Nothobranchius furzeri: one gene and its partners. The protein of the gene in region 2 interacts with the protein of the main gene of each other region in a pairwise test. Links are inferred from orthologs where the notes say so. Each region holds a gene or a part of one and is shown on either strand. Other genes may lie near its edges. The genes, in order: eaf1, stac3 and srek1ip1.

Region 1 (6,114 bases), on a different chromosome or scaffold from region 2:
AAAAACAAATTCATATATAATCAATTCAATAATTTTAAATGTGCAACATGTCCCCTCTTTCACTTGAGACTGAGTTGACTGAACAGAAATACTCTGCTGACCTTTGGAGAAGAAGTAGGACCTTGTTCCATCCTGGCGAACGTAGAAGTTCTCCCCAAGCTTGTTTCCAGATTTAAACCGGAGCATGGCGTGGTCGTACATGCCATAGTCCCTGAACAAGACAACACCACCGGGCTTCAGCACCTTAAAGCCACATGTAGATTGTTACATCGCTGAATGCCAGTTTTGTGCAGGTTTGCATAAAAAGTGATTTGTACTCAAAAAAATAGACTGCAGTAACCATGTTTGACCACAGGATGTCACTCTTACTTACTGCACCTTTAAGTTCCACCTGAATTGAGTGAATTGTGCGTGGTGGTCTCAGCTCTTAACTCTACCTTGCTGATGTTCTCCAAAACCAGCTTCATCTTGTCGGGATGGATGGCCGACAGGACAAAGATGAGCGTGACAACATCGACGCTGCCTTCTGGGACATTTTCCATCAGATCATCTCTTGTTAAGTCACACTGGAAAGCACAACAGCGCTCAGTGCAGTAAAGAGGGTTTTCCTGATTAATAAAAACAAATAACAAAACAAATGTTTACATCTTTAAATGCTGTTTTTTTCCCATTTGGTTACTCTTAGCCCTTGAAATCTCCTGTTAAGGCAGCTGAACCGGGTTTTACCACAAATGGCATCAAAGGCAGCTACACTGCAGCAAAGCTTTTTTTCATTTTTATTTTTAACTTCTAGAGCACTAAGATTAACTAGACGTGCTAGAAAAGGTGGATTTCCACAAGTACACAGTTAAGCACCTTACTTTGACAAAATCAACTGCCCGAGGAGAAAAGTCACAGGCATAAACAAAGATGTTGAGGTCATCCTCCAGAAGGGGGAAGATGCAGTTCCCAACCCCGCATCCAGCTTCCAGCAGAATCAGTTTCTGGGACTCGAACTGCAAAGAGACAGACCACGTGACCCAAAATCATCACTTTGTTGTCCGTTTGGCCTCAAATCACTGTGAAACGTTGATATTCTTTACATAAACTAAGTTCATTCTACACTACATATGCTAAGTTTAATCAAACACCCCTTATCCGCTCACCTCCCGACAGGCTTTAAGCTCCTCAAACTCTCTGGTGGTCCAGTGTCTGTCTTTAAAGAAATTCGTGGTGTTTCTTTTATAAAACAAGTCCCAATTTTTCTGCGCTTCTTTCTCCAGCTTAATTTGTTTGAAATCAGATACCAGCGTCCGCTCACTGCTCAGTCTGTCCCGTTCCTCTGGAGTTAAATCTCTGACAGAGCAAAGTTTTGTTTCTCGTCCCCGTGACTCCACCTTTGTTTCGGGTTCCACTTCTTCAATGTCTTCAACTTTGCACTTTTCATTTGTCATTAACGCCATTGTTGTGTTAGATTGCCGTTCTCTCTGATAGTTTGTTTATAAAATAAAGCTTTATATAAGCTTCAATAGGAAGAAAAAGGAGGTAATATTTTTCCACACTTGGCATCCATCTTGTGCAGCATCGATGACACCGGTACCGGTTGGTGTTATTAAAAAAAATACCACGGTGGTCAACGCTTTAAAACACAAAATTTATACAAAATATAATATAAATTTTGACTGTACAATTTTATTGTTTAAATAAGTTACAAATATTTTTAACAGCTCTGAAATCACTTACACCCAGTCTGGTTTTCCGTCGGTGGTATTTGATGCTCGGACCAAAGGCAGTGTTACGCCGAGATATGTTTCCTCACAACAACAGTTTCTCCTCCTATTTTAAGCGAGTTTCCCCTTTAACTTTGTTGTTTAAACCAATTATCTGATAATAAAATAACTAAACTGAAAACTTTTGATAGTTTAATTAAAACATTAGTCATCACAGCATGGCAAAAACGTACGGAAAATATTACTTTTTAAAATTATTTAATCTGTGTTCGGTAAAAATAAATTCATACTTAAGTCAAATACTAATAACTGAATAATTGTTCAATGAGGTAAACATATTTATTTTCCAAGAATTCAGAACGGAAAACCCGCACACTGATATACGAGTAAACCGTTTTTCACTTAACACCGAAAAAGCTGCAGTCGCGTGACGTAAGTGTTGTTTTGCTAAAGGTTAGCATCTGCAAGCTAACTTTATCTTTATTTAGATTATCATCTCCGGTAGTTGCTGGATATAGCTCTGTTTTTCGGTTGTAACACAAATGTAAAATTTAATCCGGTTTCAACCAGACGAAGTCATGAACGGAAACACAAATCCACTGCTGGACAAAGAGGAACATGTTCTGAAGCTCGGAGAGAGCTTCGAGAAAAGGCCAAAATCATCTTTTCACACCATCAGATGTGAGTGTGAAAGAGACCACTTTGTGTTTCTAAAAGCTTTTAGTAAAGTCAGCTGTTGGTTGGAAGTAATTAGCTCACAGTGATACAGCTATTACATTCATTACGGTTACAGAAGTACACAATAAATGAGAAAATTTGATTTACATGTATGAACTGCAAAACACCGAACTGAAAGAAATTGCTGAACAGAAATGTGTTTATTATGTAAAAAATAGAAAGTTAAATTGTGGGGTTTAATGTTTTTTTTTTAAGTCCTTGGTTATTATCAATTATTAACTGATCATCATTCAACTTTTACTTAATTTTGCTTTGTTTATTTAAACATTTCCTAAGCCAAGTAGACAGTGTGACCAATAATTAATAAATGCACATTTCACCCAAATACCAGCAGCACATTATTTAAATATTTCCCGGTTTGTAAATTAATGTCATATTAGCAGAGTCAAGCAAAGTTATAATTTAAAACATATAAGGGTGATTAGCTAAGTTTGAATCTCTTTCATTTTTAGAAACTAAATAATTAATAATAATAAGGGATGCACCAATATGAATTTTTTGGGCCGGTACCGAGATTAGTATCACTGTTATGGCCGATAACCAATATTGGCCAATACCGTTTTATGCATCTGAAATCAGCAGATTTTGAATAGACTGAAATTATGCAAGTTGAATTTTGGAATGTTTTGCTTTATTTCTATGAAGTTGAATTTGCATTATGTTATACACACACACACACACACACACACACACACACACACACGTACGCTTCTGGTAAATGGTAAATGGCCTGTATTTGATATAGCGCCGTCTAGAGTCCTGGAACCCCCCAAGGTGCTTTACAACACAACCAGTCATTCACCCATTCACACACACATTCACACACTGGTGGGGATGAGCTACGATGTAGCCACAGCTGCTCTGGGGCGCACTGACAGAGGCGAGGCTGCTGAGCACTGGCGCCACCGGTCCTTCCGACCACCACCAGCAGATAACATGGGTCTTGCCCAAGGACACAACGACAGCAACAGACTGAGCGGGGCTCGAACCTGCAACCTTCCGATTACAGGGCGAGCACTTAACTCCTGTGCCACCGTCGCCAGATGATTACCATCACGGTCACATGTCTCAACAATTACACATCATAACTGCCCCTTACCCTCTGAAACATACACAAACGGAAATAAGATGGAAAAAATATCAGTTCTTAAAATCGGCCCAGTTTTAATTGTCGGACTGGTATGTTAAAAATGTACTAACATCGGCCAATACTCGATATTGATGCAGATATATCATACATCTCTAATAATTATATAATTTACTTCTTTTTCTATTTATTTAAGTTTTTCTAAGCAGTGAAAGGACTTGATTCATGCCTAATTTATTTATTTATTCTTAGATGACTTCAAACCAGCATCGATCGACACGAGCTGTGAGGGAGAGCTACAAGTTGGGAAAGGAGATGAAGTTACCATAACACTACCTCATATTCCAGTAAGGTTGCAGAGACGTAAACAACAAAGCACCATTCTCACATTTGTGTCAGCTGGCTCACAGTTATGGTTATTCAACATTATTAATGTTATTAAGTGTCAATCAAGTGCTTTCCCTCTGCTAACAAAGTCAGATAGCAGCTTAGGTTGAGTAATCATAGTTGATTATGTTTAAATGTAGTTTCAGTTTCATCTAGTTACATCAGGAACCAATAAAATAAACAAGTAAAAGCCCCTTTGTATGATTTTATTAAGAAAAATCAAAGGATCAAGTAAAGTTACATACTCTTCCAGGGCTCCACGCCTCCAATGACGGTATTTAAAGGAAACAAGCGGTTGTATCAGAAGGATTGTGTGCTCATCATTAACCACGACACGGGGGAATTTGTCCTGGAGAAGCTCAGCAGCAGCATCCAGGTCAAGAAAACAAGGTGGGAGAATTGTATATTACTTTTTCACACTTGATAAATCATTCATTCTAAAGTGGGGAGCAGAAAGGAGCAACAGTTGGTGAGTCTGCCGTGTTTATTTTTTATAGGGCGGAGGGCAGCAGTAAGATCCAGGCCCGAATCGAGCAGCAGTCCGTCCGTTCCTCCCAGACAAGCTCTCAGTTCCGAGCCCCGACCAAACCAGGGGCCGGGAACAAAACCTCACCCTCCCACACGAAGGACAACCCGTCCCCAGAGCCTCAGCTGGATGACATCAAACGAGGTGAGAAGGTTCTGTCACAAGATGGAACTGGTGTGTCTCAAACTGATTCTAGCTAAAATATCAGCTGGATATTGTAACTGGTGTGAAATGAACCCAGAACCAATAATGTCTCTGACCTGCTGCCGCTGGCAGAGCTGCGGGCGGAGGTGGAGGTGATCGAGCAGATGAGCAGCAGCGGCAGCAGCTCGTCCGATTCAGCCAGCGGCTCGGGGAGCGGCGACGACAGCAGCAGTAGCGATGGTGAGCACGACGCCCCCCCGCAACCGCTCAGCCAGACCTCCCCCAGCTGCACCCCCATCACCAACGGCGGAGGAGACCGGCAGCAGGGCAACAACCAGCTCATGAACACACTCCGTGAGTAGCTCTGCGTAAACGCTGATTCTCCTGTTTCTGTTTTTAAATCTCTGCATTTATCAGTTAGTGCCTTCACATTTTTATGTGTTATTACAGGATTTCCTCAGATGATACATTCCAGACGAGTTAGTTTACTCACTTAGATTATTACTTTTCTTTTTCCTCCACAGGAAGCGATCTTCAGCTCAGCGAGTCGGGCAGCGATAGTGATGACGACTGAAGTCGCTCTCCTCCTCCACACTCCTCCTCCTCCTCGCTTCCTGGTTCTTGCGTTCACTTGCTGTGATTTTTGACCTCAGCTTTAAGTTTCTGGTTTGACTGTATTTTTTTAACATTTTATTTTATTATAGCCACCCAGAAACCTTAGGATAGCATTTTATTAGATGTGCATTTTGTTTTGTATAGGAAAAAACAGAGTTTTACTTTAGGATGTAGAAGATTATAAAGAGTGTTCAGACATATTTTAAGTACTTATAAAAAACACTAGTTTTATCTGCATAATTGATCTATTTTTCTCCTTTTTTATGATGAGGCTAGTATGAAAAAGCTTTTTCCCTGTAGTGGAAGTCTTCTCTCCATGCGTATTAGTGTTTTATTAGTTGGATGAAAAAACAGCAAAAAAACAGAAAAATCAGCAAAACTCTGCAACAAGTAACAATTTTAAAAAATGCACTTTTTTCCTCCCAAGTCTTAACAGAGAAGGTGCCGATTATTGTGGATGGATTATTTCATTCATTCCCAAAACATTTCCTTATAACTAATTTGATAATGTATATTTTTATTAGTCTTTGGGAATGTCCGACGTTGCTTTAGGTTCTGAAACAACACGTCAAAATTCAACTCATGCTGGTTAAAATTTTGTTGAAATGGAATAATTAAACAATAAATGTCTTGCAGTTATTTTTCCGGCCACAAGGGGGCAGCAAAAGACCCCGAACCACAAATGTGTTTTTACTTTTTCTGGTGACCTTCTAATTTCAGCTTTAATTTGGTTTCTAAAAACATTTTAGGAAGATAGTTCTTATTTGATTGAAACATCAAAAAATACAAATAAACCCTAAAATAATGCACAATTTTTTAGAGATGAATTCAAAACTACGGGTTCAGAAAAGCTAAAATGTTTTGTTGAATTCTTTTAATTAACCACATCAGAGGTCAGATAACAAGCA
Region 2 (6,158 bases):
GAGAGCCAGGTAGTAGTGGGACCCGGTAAATGTTCCCTTACTCTGTTGACAAAAATGACAGATTATGGAGATTTTAAACAAAATGCATCCTTATGAAATGTTTGCTTTGACCTTCTCGTCTGCTTTGTCTCCTCCTTTTTCTTTCTTATCCTCGGGTTTTCCTGTGCGAACAGTCACCAAGTCCGTTCGTGAAACTTATTAACAGCCATCATTTTTCTTTGCAGAAAACTAATTTCATAGATTTATGCCTAATAGCAATTATTGTGTAATTTACCAAGGTACATTTTCTTACCTTCTCCTGCTTCCTCACTCTCTTTGGGCTGCTGGTTCTCCTCCTCTTCCTCTTCCATCATCATCATCATCTAAAGCACATATAAGTGAATAAATGTTGTGATTTATTGACAATATTCTGAAGTTACCTAAAGTCATTTTGAGCAGTGCATCTGCTTTAATCAATTATTTTTCAAATGTGTGCTTTCATACCTTTGTTGGGTTTGTTTTACACAATGATGTGTTTCTGAAATGTGTTTTATTGTGTTTTTATTGATGAAACTCATCGTAAATACTCACATTTTTCTTGTCATTTTCATTCTTTTTGCGCTCCTTGTTCGCCATGATGACACCAACTCTCAGTGTGTCAAAGACTGGGTCGTTTCGGTTTGGGTTGTCTGGTGTCGGATGGAAAATTTTGGCCAGAAAATATCAGCACTTTCAATTATAAAGCTTTATTTAATGAATAATCTGTAGAAAATGCTATAGTCCAGGCATTACAAACATTAGATTTTTTTATCTCAAATTTTTAGGGATGCACTGATACAAAAAATGGGCTAATATTAAATGGCTATTATTAGACCATGCTGAAGAATTTGATGTTTAATATGTACATGGCATGTAAAAGTTGTGTCATTAAAAGAGTGAAAATCAACTCATTATTTCTGATATTACATTTTAAAGGTGCACTATGTAAAAATATAGTGAAAAATCTACAGTGAGAAAATCCAAAAAGTGTTGGTCATTTTAGAAGGAAGGTTATATTTAAACACATTTCATATCCAGCTGGCTGTGAGGATTGTCAGTTCATCTCATTTCAAAACAAAGGAAAGATGGACGTAACTAGTGTTTACTACCAGTGAGTGTTGTCATGATCCGCCCCGGCCTCCCTGACTGTGTCTCTCCTGCCCTGATTAGCCTTATTGTTCTCACCTGTCCCTCATTACTCTGCCCATGTGTTCCTGATTCCCTTGTGTATTTATACCTCCCTCCTTGTTGCTGTCTTTGTCGGTTCATTGTCGTTTGTGCATGTTCGTTCGTCCTGTTGCTCCCAGTCTACGATTAAACATCTTTTAATTTTTTCATCCGTTGCCTGCTCATCTGCCTCCTGAAACCCACCACCCGCAGAACATGACAAGTGTGGGGTTGTTGTGTCTCCTGCGAGCTAATACTGCAGCGCCGATAGTTGTAATTTGACTACGGCCGGCAAAAAGCTCCAGAGTTGTTTAAAGTGATTGCAGCAACCAGATTTTACCACAGATTGTCATATTTACTTCATTTCTACATAATGCACCTTAAATGCCAACATTAGCTGTTAGTAACGGACATCCCTAAAATATAATTACACCTTTGTAAGGAAGATTTTTCAACATTGGGCACTTCTAACCATTATAAATTGTAGATTGCTCTCAATGATTGATTGATTGACTGATTGACATGATTAAAAATTCACTGCATGACCATCTCTCTCCAAGATACAACAATAGCAACTAGATGGAAGAAAGTATCAGCCAAGTTTTACTTATTGGACCGATACACAGATAAAAAACAAACATCAGCCGATATGATGTTGATGTCGATATTTCCGACCTCCCTACTAATTTTACACATCTGCTTAAAAGAATTCACCGTAAAATTTAATTATTTTACTCTGATTTAGCAGTAATAAATAAAGGATTACTAATTCTAGGAGTGATTGAAGGTTTGATGGACTCACTTGGATCTGGGATGTCGCTGCTGTACAGAGGAGAACTATAGGCTCTTCTAAAGCCAGGTGGCTACAAGACAAAGAAAAAAAAAGAAAAAATTTCAACTAAAACCTTCCATTTAGTCCTGTAGTGCTTTTTTAGACATTTAAATTCAAATGTGTGTGAGAGAGAGAAAACTCACGATTTTTCCAAAGCACTTCTGGAACTCGACATAGGACTGACACGAATGGTGGATGTTGGTCTTGCAGTTTTTACACCTCAGACAAAATTTGTTGTTCACTAAGAGATGTGCAAAGTTAACCGAATCATCATAAATCTCAAAATATGTCTCGTGATATTTTCTGGGTTAAACACGTACAGACTATCATGCGAGCGCAGACGTCACAGAACTTGGGTTTCTTGCAGTAATGGTCCTTAAACTTGTGAGGTTTGTCATTGATCCGAACAATGGGCTCGGAAGGAGGTTCTGGTTCCTTCTCCTCTACCTCCACCTCCTCCTCATAAATAAAATAGACCTGCAAGCAAAGACGAAGAAGAGAACAGTTCCATACAGGTGATCAGGACTTATTTATTAACTCATGAGATATAAACAAACACCATATTGCAGTCCCGTCCCAGCTGGAGGCTATTTTAATCAGCCTGAGAACGGCTGCTAATAGCGAGTGGTTGACGTGGTGCTGCCACTCACCGTGTCTCCTTCCTCCCTCACTACATTGTCAGGGGCTGGAGGATTGTCGTGGATGTCCACGGAGTTTTTGTCATCCTCTCTAAGAAGCACAAAGAGAAAGATGAAGACCAACTGAAGCCACCTGCCATGACTGTGGTGTAAAAACGTATCGCAGAGGGAACATCTGGATCATGTGAGGAGATTTATCAGCAAACGTTAATGTGAAAACTGCTCAAAGTTTGAAGGACATTTTTTTTTACATCGCACCTTTTCCCATCATGCACAAACATCAACCAGCTGGTGATAGGGCTCCAGGATCCAGACCAGTTACATATAAATCCAAACACACACCTTTTTGATGAGTGAACTCTTAAACCAGGAACATTGAGGAGAACCATGATGTGCTTCAACAAGATTCCCCGTTCATCACCTCAAACAAACCTGATTTTAGTCGCACTGGTAAATTTAGAGCTCAGATTTTATTTAGTGAAACCCACAGAGATGTTAGAAACATGCAGCACATGGACATGAACTGTACTCACTGATCCATGGAGTGCTGGAAATATCAGTATACTGCACCCTTAAAAGAAATCATGTACATTTTACTGTCTGTCTTTTCTCAAGATGCACTTGCAGTTTGTCAGTAGCTCGTTTTTCCTAAATGCAAAACAAGGCCACATCTTTTGGATTGCATGTTTCTTTTCTGATTTGCCTACATTTTGAAGGACTTGTTTGTTTTTAAGCACCAAACACGTTCCTGGATGACAAGGGAAATTGTTGCTATAGTTGAAATTCACTATTTCAGACAAGGATCTGGTCAAATTATTAACTATAAAGCAAGCAGAGACATAAAACATGTCTTTAGTCTCTCTCTGTGTGACATTCGGAGCTAATACCTTGTAGCAAACAGTGGTAAAGAGCATTTGTCATCCTGACCTGCTCTATTCTTGGTTTTTGAAATTTGATCTGAAAACTAAATTTAGGAACTGCTGCATGTCAGGAAAATATTCCAGACAGCATAAAAGAATTTCAGGAAAAATGAGTAAATAACGGGCTAAATGGATGTAGCATTCACACAACGTTCCTACAAAACGATTCCATTAGGCATTTTTGCTACTTGAGACATAATTAAAAATTACACATAAACTTCACCATCACTTACCAAGTTATTAGAGGTTACACAGAAAAGGTAAATAAAAAAATGCTTCCCTTCACCTGCTAGATTTTTCTGAAGTGTTATGTGGCCATTGAAGCAGAGTTTGACTTACCAACTGACCAAAATGCTCCCTCACTTTTCAGCACTTCTGGATCCAGTACTGTATGGTCCCTCTGTGTTTCCTTCAGGTTATTCCCACACTGGGCGTGAATGCTGAGTGCGACCCAGATATTTATTAAAGCTGTAAGTTTGTGTATCTATGGGTGTAATTGTGAGCATGACAGGCTGAGCACTGCTTTGTGACGTTGACAGTTTGCAACAGCTGAAGGACCTCAAACTAAGCACCAGTGACGATGAGAAATCAGATATGTTCTCTACACACACACACACACACACACACACACACACACACACACACACACACACACACACACACACACACACACATACACACACACACACACACACACACACACACACACACACGCACGCACGCACGCACGCACGCACACACACACAAAGGTATCTGTCCTGCTCATGGGCCTGTATCCCTCCATTCTTTTGGGAGACCAAGGAGAAACAACAAAAATGACTACATCTCTTTCAAAGTTGTAAAAACTATTTTATTTATATATATGTTCAAGTTGTTCTGAATGCTAGTAGATGCTGCAAAAGCTGGATAAATACATAAAAGAAACATTGATTTTTAAACAATAACTGCCATGTAACTCAACCACTCTAGCAAGCATCTTTATTCGTTGTTTTATTTCATTTGTAACAAATAATCCTATAAAGTTTTTCCTCTGTTTATATACAAAATATTTTTGAGCTGTCAGCCCAGTATTAACTCCAACTCAGAATACTTTTTTACAAAGGTGTATTTTGTTGATGTAGAGGTTAAAACGTTGTACACAAATATAATACATTTATTTGTTTGTGTATTTATTAGTTGTTTACGGAATATTATTCTGTTATGTCCTGTCCACCAAACAGCGCCCCCTGTGGATTGACGTCTGACTGGAACACTACAAATGTCTCGTTGCATGTTGGGTACAATATTCCTTACGTGCTCAGTGCGCCTGCGCAAAACAAAACTCCATTATTTTTTTCTCGGAATTTGTAAGAAAAAAACAGAGGGTAACTGTGAATTGGGGATTACACGGGTCGTTATGTTTGTCGGAATACCATTGAATGCTATGCGGATTAGCAGAAGAAAGACCAAAGCGACGGCTGGATAGGTGTGGAGCGGGAACGGGACATCCCTCTGTCTTTGTGGGACACTCTAGAACAAGTAAATATCACTGAGTTAGCCCCTCCAGTTAGCCTAGCTGGGAACGCTAGCCTCCAGAAGAACCCAGGCGTAGTAAAATGAAGCGTTATTGCCCCCTTTGTTTTTAAGTCCGACTGGAAGACGTTGACTAACATTTGAGTGCTGACTCGCCGTGCCAGTTCGTGATTTGGATTATGTAATGATTCGTTTTAGTTATTAGAGTGTTGATCGTTTTCTACGTATTTTATTTAGTATTAATTTAGTAGTCCTAACTAGCTAACTCTTGATTTTCCAGCGAACGAAAAAGAGCGAAGACTTCTAAACTTGGTGGTCAACACATAGCTTGACGCAGAGAAAGATTGTTCACAACATGTTGACGTTAGCTAACAAATATTTGTTAATAAGTGAAATGTGTGGATAAGTTTCATGAAGGTTTTTAGCTAAACAATGTCGTGCAACGCTCGTTTCTTGTACCCGTAGCTAAGACACTAGAGTTTTGCATCGGGAGTGTTTAGTGCTCCTGACAGCTGTCACGACAACAGAGTACCAAGTGGATTTAGCCTGTTAGCTTAGCTGTTAGCTTACACGTTAGCTGCAATATTTATACCGTAATGTTGTTAAACGCATGCATTTAGACGTTTTTCAGACTCCGTGGGATTTAATTTAAGTCTATTTTCCATTGCTTGTTGTTTTCTGACTTTGTTTTGGGAGAGGCAACTGTTTACATTATAGCGAATCAACTACAGGCCTACCCAAACACACCCTCCTACTTCAAAAAAGCCACAGTTTGCTCTGAAGTTGAACTTTTTCTGAGGTAGCAGGGCATCCGATGTAATCTCTCCTTTTTCCAAGTGTGGTTGAATGAGATCAGTTTGAAGAAAGATTTATTGTAGCACATATTCACCGTGCTCCCCCTCTGCCAGATTACATAATCCACCTCATCCACCTTTCTCTGCAGGCTCTTCATCTAAACCACTATTCTGATGTGACCTGAACTAATAAATCTGTTGGAATCATCCAGGAAGTTGAAGGCTTTCCTCGCAGCGGAAGACATTGCAAGTATTTTGAGGAGTCAGGTTTTTTGCC
Region 3 (6,158 bases), on a different chromosome or scaffold from region 2:
GCTTATGCTGGTTGTCACATAATTTGAAACAAGTGAAATCTATTTAGACTGATTGTGTTCAATCAATGGCATGTGTGCTCTTGTTATGGGTAAATGTGTGCCACTTGTGTTTACCGTTATGGACGACATGTACATTAGAGTGCAGAATGTGTTTTAAGAACGAGAAATGCGTTTAGAGTTTTGCTAAACCGTGTGAAATGGTTTAAGGTTTTGACAACAGGCTCAACAGTTAGCTTAATGAGTTCAAGCAACAGAGAACGTTCTTCAGTCAATGGATTTTAGTGTTTTAGCAATTGAGAAAAACTGTAATATCGGAATCTGCCCAACAATTTCATAAGGGTGTATCACTAGCACCAACCCATCAGCCAGCATAAAGCCTCCATTTTTTCCCTGCCTTCTAAAACTCTGCACAAGAGGGGGGTAGTTCAGCCTCAGGGTGGAAATAGCAGTTTGTCGTTTTGGGCTCATTAGATGTCATCGCTCTAATATCGATGCATAACAACTAAATGGTTCATTAAATACACAAAACTCTGTCTTCATCGCTCCTTCCAAACACTTTGCTGTGATGAGGATTTACACAGGTGCCTCTGCCAAGCAGTGTTGTTGCTCAGAAATGTGCCTAATCATGATGTTGTGGCGAATTAAACATAAAATGTCATCATCACCTCCGTAACTCGTTTCCAGTGCACATGAACAGGACTTTTGTCCAACATGACTACTGGGTAGCCTGATGGTTGGTTCATACTAGCACATAAGGAAAAGGTCATCATGTCCACACCTTTTTTTTTAAATATAATTTTCTTTAAAGGTTTAAATTTGATTTGAGGTTGATGTCTTACTTAATACAGCCTTATTGTGAAAGGATCTGAATGCACTTCTTTTAGGGACTTTTGAGCATCTTTAGCACTAGTGAATAACTCCAAACCTTTCATGAAGCTGAAACTTCTCTTTTAAGTGCTGATGTTGTTAAACAGCAGTTTACCAGATAGAAATATGAGGTGTGATGCTTCCCTCTAGTGGCCATGTGGCTGCATATGAACCATATTTAGTCCGTTTTTTTTTTTTTTTTTGTCAATCAGGATTGGTGGTTTATTAAATTTGGTCAGATTAGATTACAAAGGGAAAACAGTGACAGATTAAACTGAAACAAACATGTTTTATTCCCAGTAAAGGGTCAGTGATCAACAGAAAACTAAGACAAACCTGCAGTAATTACAGCAAAGATGATGCATTTCACTGACTGTTTATGCATTTTTGCAGAAACCTCACACATGCAACCTACACAAAGAAAGGTCAGGATTTGAACCTGTGACCTTCCCGCTGCAAAGCAACAGCACTACCAACTGAACCACCGTACTGCCCTCATGTTTAAAAGCACTTTGACCTTTTAAATTGATCCTTTTTGACTAAAATACATAAAAATAACAGAAATAGGAACTTATTAACCTGCAGTATGAAGTGTTTAATATTTTAAATCCTTGTATAAAGATGGGTTCCTGACAGTCTCAGAGGAAATCAGCAGTCATTTTAACCCTTACGTCATATTGTTGCCATTAATCTGTAGCAGACAAAATTTACTTTAACACTCAGAAAGGAAAGCTCAGATGAAACTATTTGATTTGCTGCATTTATAAAGTGTCAAAACGCAGACCATCTACACTTCTGAATAAACACGTCGTCCAGAAACGACACTGTTCAGTCACTGTCTGATGATTCACCAGAGGTGGAAGAGGATGATGAGGATGATTTGTGTTTCCTCTTCTTCTCTTTCATTTTGTGATGCTTCCCGTGCTCTTTTTTGTTCTTTTTACTCTTCTTCTTGCGGCTTAGTTTCTTTTTCTTTCTTCTCTCCTCTTCATCCGACGATGAGCTTGATCTGCTTCGCTTCTTCTTTTTTTTTGTGCCCCCATCACTCGACGACGAGTAAGATCTAAATTTTAAATAATAGTTACTGGCTTTGGTAAAACCAAGAAAACACTTCAAATCTTTAAGTATCAACTATAAAAACATCTAAAATAATACATTATTAGTCTATCTTTAACTAGTGGAATGAAAAATATTTTCCAACAACTTACATGCTTTTTTCAACACAGTAATTGAGAATATAGGAGCATTAAAAACACGTATCTTAATATAAACACAAGATAAATGACCTTTTTCTTGACTTTCTGTCTTTGTTCTTCTGTTTCCGCTTCTTTTTTCTATCGTCATCATCATTGGAATCTAAAACATTGAAAATAATGAAAGGAAAAGTCGACATTGAATCAAAGCAAGTCACAGTAGAAGCAGAACAGGACCTGAATCATAGAAGAACAGAAAGTTTGATTAGCATTTGAAAGTCTCTTGTTTGATTTTTTTTAGTTTCTTATGTAAAGTAAGCGGTGACGGTCTGCCTCCACATTGAGAGGATCTGGTTAGGATGCCTCCCTGGTGAGGTTTTCCAGACACGTCAAACTGGGAGTAGACCTAAAGGAAGACCAAGGACAAGCTGGAGGCACTATGTTTCTCAGTAGGACAGGGAACGCCTTGGGATTCCCCCAGAGAAGCTGGACCAAGTGGCTCGGGAAAGGGAAGCCTGGCCCTCTCTGCTTAAGCTGCTGCCCCCATGGCCCGAACCCGGATAAGCGGAGGAAAATAGATAGATGGATGGTAGTCTGCACTTTCTTTGCTTTATTTTAATCAAAATATTATTGATTTAAGCAAATTTTAAGCCATCTGACCTTTGTGATGCTGACCACTCCGTCCCAGTTTCTCTGTGTGCTGAGAAACTGGTCCGTCATCTTCACTCTCCTCGCTGCTGGTGCTGCTCACATCCAGAACAATGTCTTTCTGCGGGTCGACCCGGACGAAGTTTCGGCACTCAAACGTCAAATGTCCCGCTGAGAAACGAACACAAAAAGAGATCACAATTGAAACACTAAATTAAGGAAAAGAACATTTGTTCAGATGGAAAAACGTCAGTGAAAACATTAAATCTAATTATTTACACAGTTCTTCATTACTGATAGCATATTTTAAATCATATAACTTGTTTTTGGCTCATTTTAAACAAAGTACCTCTATCTGTCTCCAAAAGCATTTAAGATTCAAAGAATTCACTTTTCAAATGTAACTTGAAAAATAAATCGAATGCATACATTTGTACTAATAAGTAATCTATTAGATAAAGTTACTTACGATAGCCACATTTCTTACAGCCAGCTCTGATGTTGTCTTTGTTGGCAGCTGTCAGGTGATACAAGAGGTTAAATATCACGAAGATTCACGCGGGAAAGCGCTTTATGACTGCATTATTTCTTTTTCAACACAGAAATTGTTTAACGATATTTAGCTAAGTTATAATATATCCAGGATTTGTGCGAAAATGCCAGGAGTAGTCTCCGTGTTTGTTGGAGGTTTAACTGTTGTAAAGATGAGCTCCACTTTACTTATCTTATCTACGCTAAATGATCAAAAAATTAGCCTAAAAACACTCAAACAGAACCCCTACCTGGTGCCGCCATTGTGCTTTTGGTGATAAAACTACAAATTTGTTTTAAAAAATATATATTTCAGAGCGAATGCAAGTCTACAAGAACAATACCGTCGACCGGAAACATTTGCACCTGAAACTACTGCTTCCTCCCTCTCTTCTTCTAATTTCCTGTTTAGAAAACAAAATCAGTGGCTCAATGTCGCCACCTGCTGGACATGTGCTAAAAACAAAGACCTACAAAAAAAAAAGATCGTCTCCAAAAAATATAAATAAATAAAATAAATCTTATGGTTCCTTACAGTTACTAGTATTATTTATTTATTTATTTATTTTATTTTATTTTATTTTATTTTATTTTATTTTATTTAACCAGGGAAAGCCCATGGAGGTTAAAAAATCTTTATTAAGGGAGACCTAGCTAGCCAATAAGGCAAAGATCAAAACGACGTTCATTCAAGAAGAAAAAATAAGCATTACAATGAACACTGGATATATTTAAAGGAAACAGTTGGATGTTGTCATCATTGGGTCTGTGGTGGTACTTCAACATCAACAAGGTTTAAACACATGGACAGTAGTTTTGACCACTTTTTAAATTTAATTAAAGTTTTTTAAACTGAAAGGGTCGTTGAGATTTACATCTAGGAATGTCCTTGCAGAGCAACAATAAATAAAACAGTTTACACATTGCAGAAAAACAAACAAACAAAAGCATTAGGATAATCAGCAAACGAAAAAGGATTCAGGTAGTTTGTGCAGCAGCCAGTGACAGAAATTCATAAATCGAAACATGTACCTCCAAATGTTTAGCTAGTTCATATTTCAAGTTTTAATTAAAAATACTTTGTTTTCATAAATGATATCTCTGTAATCAACAAAAACTCGTTATTTAGCAATGTTTGCACTTTTCCTGATTGATTTACCAGCAAAGTCTGGTGTGGTTTTATTTGCCAGGGGTTAATTGACAGCAGCCAGGCTTGAAGATGGAAAATGCTGACAGATGTTGGGCCCCCAGACGTGCTGTCATCATTAGGTCTGTGGCTGTGACACACACACACACACACACACACACACACACACACACACACACACACACACACACACACACACACACACACACACACACACACACACACACACACACGCACACACACACACCAAACTGCCAGAAGTAAATCTAGAATTAACTTAGTAAAAAAGGAAATGATAAAGTAATCAGAAGATTCCCCATAAAAGCTGATGTCCCTGAAAACATTTGGCAAGATCAAATGTTTTCTAAATAATATTTTGACATTCCTGTAACATCTGCATTCAAAATAGAAAACTGGAAAAAATAAACTTATCTGCATCACTGTTGGTTTACGTCTGCAGGTGAGAGAACAAAGCAAATTCAAACAGACTTCTTTTCTATGTGAGACAGCCCATTGCTGGAAAAACAAATGTCGAATTAGCAAGAACGTTGTAAAAGAGTCCCACAGCCTGGTTGAAGATGTAGGAAGTAAACCACCATCAGATAAAGTGTGGCCCATAGACCCTTTATGAGGAAAAACACAAATGGAAACTAGGTTCCCTTCCTCAGATGGGCACACCACAGGGCTCCCCTCTGGAGCCAGGCCTGAGGTGGGGCACGTTGGTGAGCACCTGGTGGCTGGGCTTTCGCCCATGAAGCCCAGCCGGGCACAGCCCGAAGAGGAAATGTGGGTATCCTCTCCATGAGCTCACCACTCGTGGGAGGGGCCAAAGGGGTCAGGTTGTGTGACGGGTGGTAGACAAAGGCAGGGACCTCGGCTACAAAAGCTTGCTCTCGGTACGTGCAATGTCACCTCTCGGGTACGGAAAGAGCTGGAGTTGTTGTGTATGGTTGAGATGCGAGATATTGTTGGACTCACCTCAACACATGGCTTTGGCTCTGGAACCAGTTTCCTCGAGAAGGGTCCTGACTGTGGTTTGTGCTTATGCAACAAACTACAATTCAGACTACCCACACTTTGTGGGGTCATTGGAGGGGGTGCTGGAGAGCGCTCCTTCCAGTGACTACCCCGTTCTGCTGGGGGACTTTAACGCTCACGTGAGAAATGACAGTGAGACCTGGAGAGGTGTAGTTGGGAGGAACGCCCCCCTGATCTGAATTTGAGTGGTGTTTTGTTACTGAACTTCTGTCATGATTGTCCATAATGAACAACATGTTCAAGCATAAAGGTGTCCGCATGTGCTCTTGGAACCAGGATACCTTAGGCCGCAGTTCGATGATCAACTTTGTTGTTGTTTCATCTGATCTGCGGTCGCATGTTTTGGACCCTCAGGAGAAGAGAGGGGTGGAGTTGTCAATTGACCACTACCTGCTGGTCAGTTGGCTCAGACAGAATTTCGAACACGTCCTGAGGGAAGCAGGGGACATTGAGTCAGAGGGAGCCATGTTCCATACTTCCATTGATGAGGTGGCTGACCAGAGCTGTGGCTGCAGGGTCGTCAGCGCCTGTCGTGGAGGCAACCCCTGAACACGCTGGTGGACACTGGCGGTTAGGGATGCTGTCAAGCTGAAGAAAGACTCCTATCAGGTTCTTTTGGCCGGTGGGACTCTAGAGGCAGCTGATGGATACGACAGGTCAAGCAGAATGCAGCCCGCGTGGTCACAGAGGCAAAAACCCAGGCGTGGGAGGAGTTTGGTGAGACCATGGAGCAA

The links.
Region 1: the proteins of stac3 (region 2) and eaf1 interact in binary tests that used the Homo sapiens proteins (3 or more experiments, as listed by UniProt). The two-hybrid records come from large-scale screens. The link is inferred for Nothobranchius furzeri from reciprocal best matches to the Homo sapiens genes STAC3 and EAF1.
Region 3: the proteins of stac3 (region 2) and srek1ip1 interact in binary tests that used the Homo sapiens proteins (3 or more experiments, as listed by UniProt). The two-hybrid records come from large-scale screens. The link is inferred for Nothobranchius furzeri from reciprocal best matches to the Homo sapiens genes STAC3 and SREK1IP1.

What each region holds. Positions count from the first base shown.
Region 1 is NC_091745.1:66,978,236-66,984,349, reverse strand, and holds the start of eaf1 (ELL-associated factor 1), read left to right. Parts: upstream 1-2,098; 5' UTR 2,099-2,287; coding exon 2,288-2,390; intron 2,391-3,786; coding exon 3,787-3,881; intron 3,882-4,174; coding exon 4,175-4,311; intron 4,312-4,418; coding exon 4,419-4,591; intron 4,592-4,723; coding exon 4,724-4,945; intron 4,946-5,115; coding exon 5,116-5,165; 3' UTR 5,166-6,114. Other genes in the region: tRNA N(3)-methylcytidine methyltransferase METTL6, read right to left, coding at 102-243, 438-608, 861-995, 1,146-1,442. UniProt on the Homo sapiens protein: Acts as a transcriptional transactivator of ELL and ELL2 elongation activities.
Region 2 is NC_091755.1:32,734,064-32,740,221, reverse strand, and holds the start of stac3 (SH3 and cysteine-rich domain-containing protein 3), read right to left. Parts: upstream 4,114-6,158; 5' UTR 3,915-4,113; intron 3,227-3,914; 5' UTR 3,197-3,226; coding exon 3,189-3,196; intron 2,747-3,188; coding exon 2,668-2,746; intron 2,495-2,667; coding exon 2,338-2,494; intron 2,259-2,337; coding exon 2,161-2,258; intron 2,049-2,160; coding exon 1,988-2,048; intron 669-1,987; coding exon 571-668; intron 363-570; coding exon 293-362; intron 162-292; coding exon 112-161; intron 43-111; coding exon 1-42. UniProt on the Homo sapiens protein: Required for normal excitation-contraction coupling in skeletal muscle and for normal muscle contraction in response to membrane depolarization. Required for normal Ca(2+) release from the sarcplasmic reticulum, which ultimately leads to muscle contraction.
Region 3 is NC_091748.1:63,076,437-63,082,594, forward strand, and holds srek1ip1 (protein SREK1IP1), read right to left. Parts: upstream 3,637-6,158; 5' UTR 3,504-3,636; coding exon 3,491-3,503; intron 3,226-3,490; coding exon 3,178-3,225; intron 2,880-3,177; coding exon 2,721-2,879; intron 2,224-2,720; coding exon 2,154-2,223; intron 1,931-2,153; coding exon 1,696-1,930; 3' UTR 1,137-1,695; downstream 1-1,136. UniProt on the Homo sapiens protein: Possible splicing regulator involved in the control of cellular survival.